Linked DNA regions of Anolis sagrei. The protein of the gene in region 1 purifies or fractionates together with the protein of each later gene. This does not show direct contact. Links are inferred from orthologs where the notes say so. Each region holds a gene or a part of one and is shown in the gene's direction. Other genes may lie near its edges. The genes, in order: L3MBTL3 and SAMD13.

Evidence for each region.
Region 2: the proteins of L3MBTL3 (region 1) and SAMD13 purify together in Homo sapiens (affinity purification with mass spectrometry; 3 studies listed by BioGRID and IntAct, counting the BioPlex papers as one, with this or other methods). This does not show direct contact. The link is inferred for Anolis sagrei from reciprocal best matches to the Homo sapiens genes L3MBTL3 and SAMD13.

Annotation. Positions count from the first base shown.
Region 1 is NC_090021.1:83,146,611-83,150,520, reverse strand, and holds the start of L3MBTL3 (lethal(3)malignant brain tumor-like protein 3), read left to right. Parts: upstream 1-1,119; 5' UTR 1,120-1,296; intron 1,297-3,910. UniProt on the Homo sapiens protein: Is a negative regulator of Notch target genes expression, required for RBPJ-mediated transcriptional repression. It recruits KDM1A to Notch-responsive elements and promotes KDM1A-mediated H3K4me demethylation.
Region 2 is NC_090024.1:155,386,544-155,390,453, reverse strand, and holds the start of SAMD13 (sterile alpha motif domain-containing protein 13), read left to right. Parts: upstream 1-1,258; 5' UTR 1,259-1,341; intron 1,342-1,422; exon of another isoform or gene 1,423-1,520; intron 1,521-3,910.

The DNA of each region.
Region 1 (3,910 bases):
AATTAAACCAAAGTGGATTTCAAAATGGAGCAGTATCCAGTAAAGCTTGTGTTACATGAAATTAGCCCCCTCCCTCTTGCCATTCGAAAGGACAAGAGGGAGGGGGCCAGTCTAATGTCACTTGGTAGAGCAGGGGTCCTCAAACTTTTTAAACAGAGGGCCAGGTCACAGTCCCACAAACTGTTGGAGGGCCGGATTGTAATTTGAAAAAAGTATGAATGAATGCCTATGCACACTACACATATCTTATTTGTAGTGCAAAAAAACACTTAAAAACAATAAAATGAGAACAATTTTAACAAATATATTTCAGTGGGAAATGTGGGCCTGCTTTTGGCTGATGAGATAGGATTGTTGCAGTTGCATGCTTTCAAGTCGTTTCAGACTTAGGTTGACCCTGAGCGAGGGCTGAGTAAAGGACCTTGGAGGGCCATATTCGACCCTTGGGCCTTAGTTTGAGGATCCCTGGGGTAGAGAGTCCCACAGGCAAGGGGCCACCACTGGGAAAGCCCTGTCTCTTGTCTCCACAATTCGTGCTTGCGAGGATGGTGGAACTGAGAGCAGGGCCTCTCCCCTCGATCTTAGACTTCAGGATGGTTCATAGCAGGTGATACCTTCAGATAGGTAAGCAAGGCCAGAACCGTTCAGGGTTCCTATGTCATCATCAACTTTGCAACAAAACCACTTTCTCCAATGCTGGTTTGAAACTGCCTTGAATGGCCAGTGTAGAAAGGCTGGTGTTCACACCCAAATCACTTCCACCTATGCAGGTTCAGAACTGACCAAAGCGGAGAGTGTAGACGTGCCCATCCTTTTCATTCCCTGGAAGTGACTAGTACTAATAACAAGAATGCAGAAAGAAAGAGGGAGAAGAGGGGGTCGCTAAGGATATCAGAGACCCCCAAGCCTGGCCCTTGCCTCCTTTTATTATTCTCTCCGCGTTGGCGGAGGTGCTCCCTGAAGATGGGAGAAGGGGCGCTCTGGCTTGGGATGCCAGGCCGAGGCACAGAAAAGAAGGCAAGAGGAAGGCAGGCAGGAAGGAAGGCAGGCGGGAGACCCTGGGCGCCTCTTGCCGCGGAGAGGCCAAAGCAAGCAGCGCCCAGCCTCCGTCTCCAGCAGCAGCAGCAGAAAGCAGCAGTTTCCCCTTTTCCCAGCCCTGACTCCGCGGGCGCATGCTCAGTGGCGCCCGCAGCCCTGGACCATATTTGTCAGGACTTACTCGAGAGACGGAGGAAAATAGAGGAAAAAAGAAAGACGGAGAGAAAGACAGAAAGAAAGAGAAAGAGAGATTTTGGGGTGGGTAAGGAACCGCCTGGGGGAAGGGTAGGGGGGCGACCTTTTGAGGGAGGTGGGGAGGGTGGGTTGGAAAGGGATGAAAGTTGGAGGGGGAAAAAGAAAGGGAGAAAGCGAGCAAGGGAGAGCGAGCGAGCGCGCACCGCCTTTGGGTGGGAAGAAAAGGAGGGGGAAAGGGAGGCTGGGAAGGACGAGGAAAGAGGGGCCTGCATTCCTCCACAACCTCTGCCCAAGTGGAGGGAGAAAGTGGCCCCGCGGGTGGGTCGTGGCGGGGGAGGAAGCGGCAAAAGAGGAGGAACAAAAGAGAGGCGGAAAAGAGGGCTTTGAGCGGCGCTCAGACCCCCAAAGGAGGGGTTTGGGGGGGCTGGGGGAGGGAGGCAAGGCTGGGGGGCGCATTCATTCCTCAGCCTCTTCTCTTTCCCTTTCCCAGACCCCCCAAAACCCCTCAATGGGGGAGGGGGAGGGAGAAAAGACTAGAAAAACGCCTCTTTTCCTTTGATTTCCTTTGACACTTCTAAGGAGGCGTTTTTTGGGGGGGGGAGGGGGGAGACAGGAAGGCGCAGCTAAGCCAGAGCCTTGTGTCGTTTGGGGTCTCTGCTGCGGCAGGCAAGGCTGGGGGGCGTTGGGTTTGGGTGGAAAGGAAGAAAAAGGGGGGTGCGGGCAAGGAAGCCAAGGGAAGGCCGAAGGGAGGTGGACTTTCTCCCCTTCCCTTGTACCGGTTGCATGCGTTTGCGTTTTGGGAAAGGAGGAGGAGGAGGAGAAAGAGGGGGAAAAAAGGCCTGTGCGCCGCCGCCGCCGCTGCTGCGCTTGCCGGGGATTATTGCTCTCTTGCATTTCCAAACAAGCGCCTTCTTTCTTTCTTTTCCTTCTTTCCTTTCCTTTTCCCTACGTTGCCTTTCTCCCTCGGTGCCTTGTGTGTGCCTCCCTCCAATGCCTTGCCCATTTATTATTATTATATACGGACACGCACACACACACACACACCAGGATCATACGGAGCTCCCCCCAATTCCGCCATTTTGGGCAAACTTTGCACACACGCGCGAGCGCGCGCGCGCCGAGACGGGAGGCGCTCCTCGGCACTCTCTCTCTCTCTCTCTCCCCCCGGATTCCCCGGCATGGATTCCCTCCCTGGGCTCCCTCTGGCTCTCCATTCTAAAGTAGAGGCAGACCCCCTCGGTGGGCGCGGAGCGGAGGAGAAAGCGCGGCTCGCAAAGCTTGCAAAGCCTGGCAGCAGCAACTCCTTCCTCCTCCTCCTTTCCTTTTTCTCTTCTTTCCTGGAGATGTGCGTGCGCGCGCAAAGGGGTTTCTTTCTCTCTCTTTTTCTTCTTTTTCCGCCTCTCTTTCCCTCTCTCGTGTGAAGCCCACAGAAGTGCCCCTCCCCCACGAGGCAGGCCACTCCAACAATGGTTTACAGTGCGTTTTGGGCGACACTTGTTCTCCTTTTGGAGGGGAGGGAGAAGGAGAAGGGGGGAAGAAGGCGCTCGCCGCGGGTGCGGACGGAGCGCGCCTGGAAACCAAGCCAGGCCTTCCTGCTGCGTGCATATATCTGTATCTCTATCTCAGGAGCGTGGGTTTGGGTGGAAGGCAGCCCTTCAAGCCTCCCCACCCCCCCACACTCAGGCGGAGGGAGGACGGGGAAAAGCCACGCGCGACAGTTGGGGGAGAAAAAAGTTGGGAAAGGGAGCCGTCTCCAAAAAGGGGGACCACCTTCCAGAATCTTTCCGCTTCCCTGCTTAGAATCGTAAAGTTGGAAGAGAACCTCATGGGCCATCCAGTCCAACCCGCTGCCAAGAAGCAGGAAAACAGCATTCAAAGCATACCCGACAGATGGCCATCCAGCCTCTGCTTAAAAGCTTCCACATTCCGGGGCAGAGAGTTCCACTGCTGGACGGCTTTCACAGTCAGGAAGTTCTTTCTCATGTTCAGATGGAATCTCTTTCTTTGTAGTTTGATGCCACTGTCCTTTCTTATTGTATTTCCTCCCCTAGAGAGGAGGCTGGAGAGGCACAGGCTCAAATATGTTCGGGGGGGGGGGGAGAGACTCTCGAAGGGTTTCCTTCACTCAAGTTTGGGAAGAGCGAGGACTCTCTCCAAAGGGAGCCCTTTCCCAAAGCGACCCAATAGGATTCTGGAAGACCCCAGATCCATATCTTTGAGAGGGTCAATGTGTCCAGGAAGAAAGGAAGAAGCTGGAAAGGGGTCCCTTCACAAAGTTGGGACAACACAGCCCTCTCCCAAAGGGGACTTTTCCCCAGAAGTGCGGTGGAGGCTTCTTCTTTGGAAGCTTTTAAACAGAGGCTGGATGGCCATCTGCCGGGGGTGCTTTGATTGCAATTTTCCTGCTTCTTGGCAGGATGGGGTTGGAGTGGATGGCTCACGAGGTCTCTTCCAACTCTGATTCTATAATTCTTTCACCAGGCTTGGAAAACAGAGAGAGAGAGACGCCTTCTTTGTCTCTCTAGTGTAATTCTGGAGAGGCGCGTTAAAATGCGTCCAAGGGGCCGCCCATTAGCACGGTTTCCCCTTCCTAAAGGAACCCACCTTCTTGTGATAGTGGGAGTTTGTCAGGGTTTGTTGTGAGCTCGCTTCCTGGGCTGAAAAAACGGGATGCCGC
Region 2 (3,910 bases), on another chromosome or scaffold:
AGTCACCCCTTTTTTTAGTGAGATGTGTTCCACACTGGGCATGCATACTCAGCAGCAGAGTAGCAGAGCGCAAGGGCAGATGTCTTCACTGTGTCTGGTTGTGATCCCCAGGTTGTGCCAGTCAGCTTTCGTCACATCTCACCACGCTAAAACAGTAGATGTGGCTCTTAATGAGACATGCCGCATTATCACGGGGTGTCTGCGCCCTACACCACTGGAGAAATTACACTGTTTAGCTGGTATTGCACCACCTGACATCCGCCGGGAAGTAGCAGCCAGTAGTGAAAGGACCAAGGCAGTGACATCTCCAGCTCATCCCTTGTTTGGGTATCAGCCAGCACGTCAACGACTTAAATCAAGAAATAGTTTTTTAAGATCTACAGGGACACTTACTGGAACACCTCAGCAAGCGAGAGTCCAAAAGTGGCAGGCTAAAACCCAGAATTTCAACCAATGGCTGATACCAAATGAGAGACTCCCCCCTGGGCACACAGGAGCTGAACAGACTGCACTCTGGCACCATGAGATGCAGAGCCAACCTTAGGAAATGGGGCTACAGGGTGGAATCCACGACATGCGAGTGTGGAGAGGAGCAAACCACTGACCACCTGCTGCAATGCAACCTGAGCCCTGCCACATGCACAATGGAGGACCTTCTTGCGGCAACACCAGAGGCATTCCAAGTGGCCAGATACTGGTCAAAGGACATTGAATCAACTACCAATCTTGCAAAATTTGTGTTTTGTCTGTTTGTTTTGTTCTGTTAGAAACATAATACAATTGTCTGGTTGCCCCTGACACGATAAATAAATAAATACCCCTTTTTTGTTATTGTTTTTCCTTTTCCCTTGCTTTTTTTCTTTTTTTTCTCCCTTCTTTTTTATTGAAGGGGGTTTTGCACACCATAGGGTTAAGCATCTTTCAAAAAATAATAATAATTTTCTAAAATAATGTTTTAATTTTTTTCCTCTCCTTCCTCCTCTCTACATCCCGGCAACTTCTCCTACTCTATTTTATTTCCTACTTTTCTATCTTCTTCACAATATCCCCCCACTTTCTATGTAACCATATAATCTTTCAATAAAAATTAATTTCAGAAAAAAAAGAAATGTATGTACATTTTTCCAAATCGATGGCGAATCATTCACCAGGGATGCAGAGGAATGTGCTGACTTTTCAGCATCTGCTGAGAAACTGCTCCCACTGGTTTGAGAGGAGTTTTGCATGCAAAAGCATGTGCTTGTGTGTGTGTGCTGGGAATGGCAGCTCCAAGCTGCAAATCCAGCTGTCAAACAGGAGGATCTCCATGGAGGATCTGTAAAGACATTTTATTCCCATCAGGTTAGTTTTTAGCAAGGTGGGGACTACGTCTCCCAGCATGCTTTCCTCCCTGACAGCTGGCTGCTGATTGGCTGTGGTTGGTTCTGGTTGCAACTCTGCATGTGGCTGCTGCTGTGCTCAGAGGAAGGCAGGCTTTTGCTGGCAATGTATATATATGCGTGTGTATAGGAAAAAGAAAGGTAAGTCAGCTCTGCGACATGCTCCATGGGCAATGTGGGCTGCTTCCCTTCCTTTCCATGATTTTGCTCCCCAGATCTTTTGTTCCTGACCTAGTTAGTGGTGAGCGCTTCCTTGAAGCAGCTGCTTTCCAAAGGCATGTTTTGTGTTGGAGTGTGTTTAGGGAAATTGAGCCAATCCAAAAACTGGGAGAGCAAGAGGGATGCACTGAGGATGCTCCCAAAGGGATCAAGAAACATATTCAGGGAGAGGACTACTGCACACTCTGGGAGGGAAAACATACACACAGTACACAACTAGTGATTTCTCCATCCATTTATTGAAACACCAGCTATTTCCGATTCCTGCAAAGCAAACTGTTGTGTGTCATATGTATATTTTCACTATTTTCAATGTTTCCCTTTCGCCTTGTCATTGCAGAGAGAGGAATGCTAGTGTTGGGTTTGTTTATTCAAAATCGTTTCCAAATCCTGGCTGAAATGCTGCATTTTTAAAAAAAGTTTGCCTCTAATGGTATGTGGGAAGTTTTGTCATATCACAAGACGGTTCTGACACATGGAATGATGTTAAAAGCTTTGCAGCTTCCTCGCTCAACGCTGTTTAGGGATTTAGGACAATGCACTCGGTGTTTCTACTTTTCTAAATAGGCTCATTTCTGTCTCTTGTTGAAATAAAATCAAATATAACATTGTGTTTTCTTTCTCACACTCCCATCTTTCACAACATTTTCAAGGATGGACGGAAAGCAAGCTTCTTTGGCGTAAAGTGTAGCAAACAGCCCACAAATAGGATATCTTTGGACCTTCTTGTCCTGTCCTGTTTGCATTGTGTGTTCCCCCAAAAGATATAAGTTCAATATGTTCAGATGGAGAGCATGAAACACAGAAATTGGCCCCATGTCTGTGGGTGTTCAAGTTATAGGTCAACAACATGTGGTGAAGTTGTTTTCCTGTTTTTAAGGACACCCAGGCACTTTTTTTGGAATTGCTGGGAGTGGTAATTGAAAAGCATTAGGATGGAAAGAATGTTATTCGGGCATGAAAAAATGGATTTTCTTTAATTTTCAAAATATAAACAACATGCAGAGCCCATTTTGTTAGTAAGTGAGCTTTGACAACAAGATTGAACAACAAACTGAAGTCCCTTCCACACTGCCCCTATATCCCAGGACTTGATCCCAGATTATCTGCTTATCCCAGACTATCTGGCAGTGGAGACTCATATAATCCATTTTAAAGCAGATAACCTGGGATCACATCCTGGCATATATGGCAGTATAGAAGGGGCCTGAATGAGACTGTTGTGTCTTTATTGTTGTGTCAGCAAAAATTATTTTGAAAAAGAAAAAAGAAAACCATTGTATCTTAGGGTGCATCTACACTGCAGAATTAATGCGGTTTTATACCACTTAACTCCCATGGCTCAATGCTGTGGATTCCTGAGAGTTAAAGTTTGGGAAGGCACCATTACTCTGACAGTAAATCTAAAGACCTTATTTATTTATTGTATCAGAAGCAAACCAGGGGTATGATTGTAATGTATTTTTTTTTTAAAAAAAAACACAATATTTTTTTAAAAACTTGGCATTATGCTAAATGTCCGTTGACCAGTAGCTGGCCACTTGGAGTGCCTCTGGTGTTGCTGTAAGAAGGTTCTCCATTGTGCATGTGGCAGGGCTCAGGCTGCAATTGTAAAAGGTAGTCTGTGGTTTGCTCTTCTCCACACTTGCATGTCGTGGACTCCACTTTGTGGCCCCATTTCTTAAGTTTGGCCTTGCATCTCGTGGTGCCAAAGAACAGTCTGTTTAGCGCCTTCTAAGTCGCCCAGTCTTTTGTGTGCCCAGGAGGGTTTCTCATTAGGTATCAGCTGTGGCTTGAGGTTCCGGGTTTTAACCTGCCGCTTTTGGACTCTTGCTTGCTGATGTGTTCCTGTGAGTATCTCTGTAGATCTTAGAAAACTATTTTTTGATTTAAGGCATTGGCGTGCTGGCTGATATCAGAACAGAGGATGGTCCGGAGATGTCACTGCCTTGTACAACTACAACTCCCATGATCCCAGCGCACTGAACCATAGCAGTTAAAACAGTGTTAAATGCATCAATTCTAAGTGTTTGTACATTCTTAAATATAAAATCTCATTCTCCTTGGAGATAAACAGATCCCAGGCTTGACACCAAAATCTTGTTTTCTATAGCAGACATTAGTTTTGGATAGCTATTAAGAAAATTGAACATGCACAGAATGACTTTCCTTCACTGTTGCCACAATCCAAAACCCTCACCAATCTGGAACTATGGAAAAATGTTTCCAGAACCGATATTTGTATTTCTAGGTAGCCCTTTGAGGATTGATGTGTCATGTTCTAAAATTTAACTTCCTCATAAGTTCCAAGA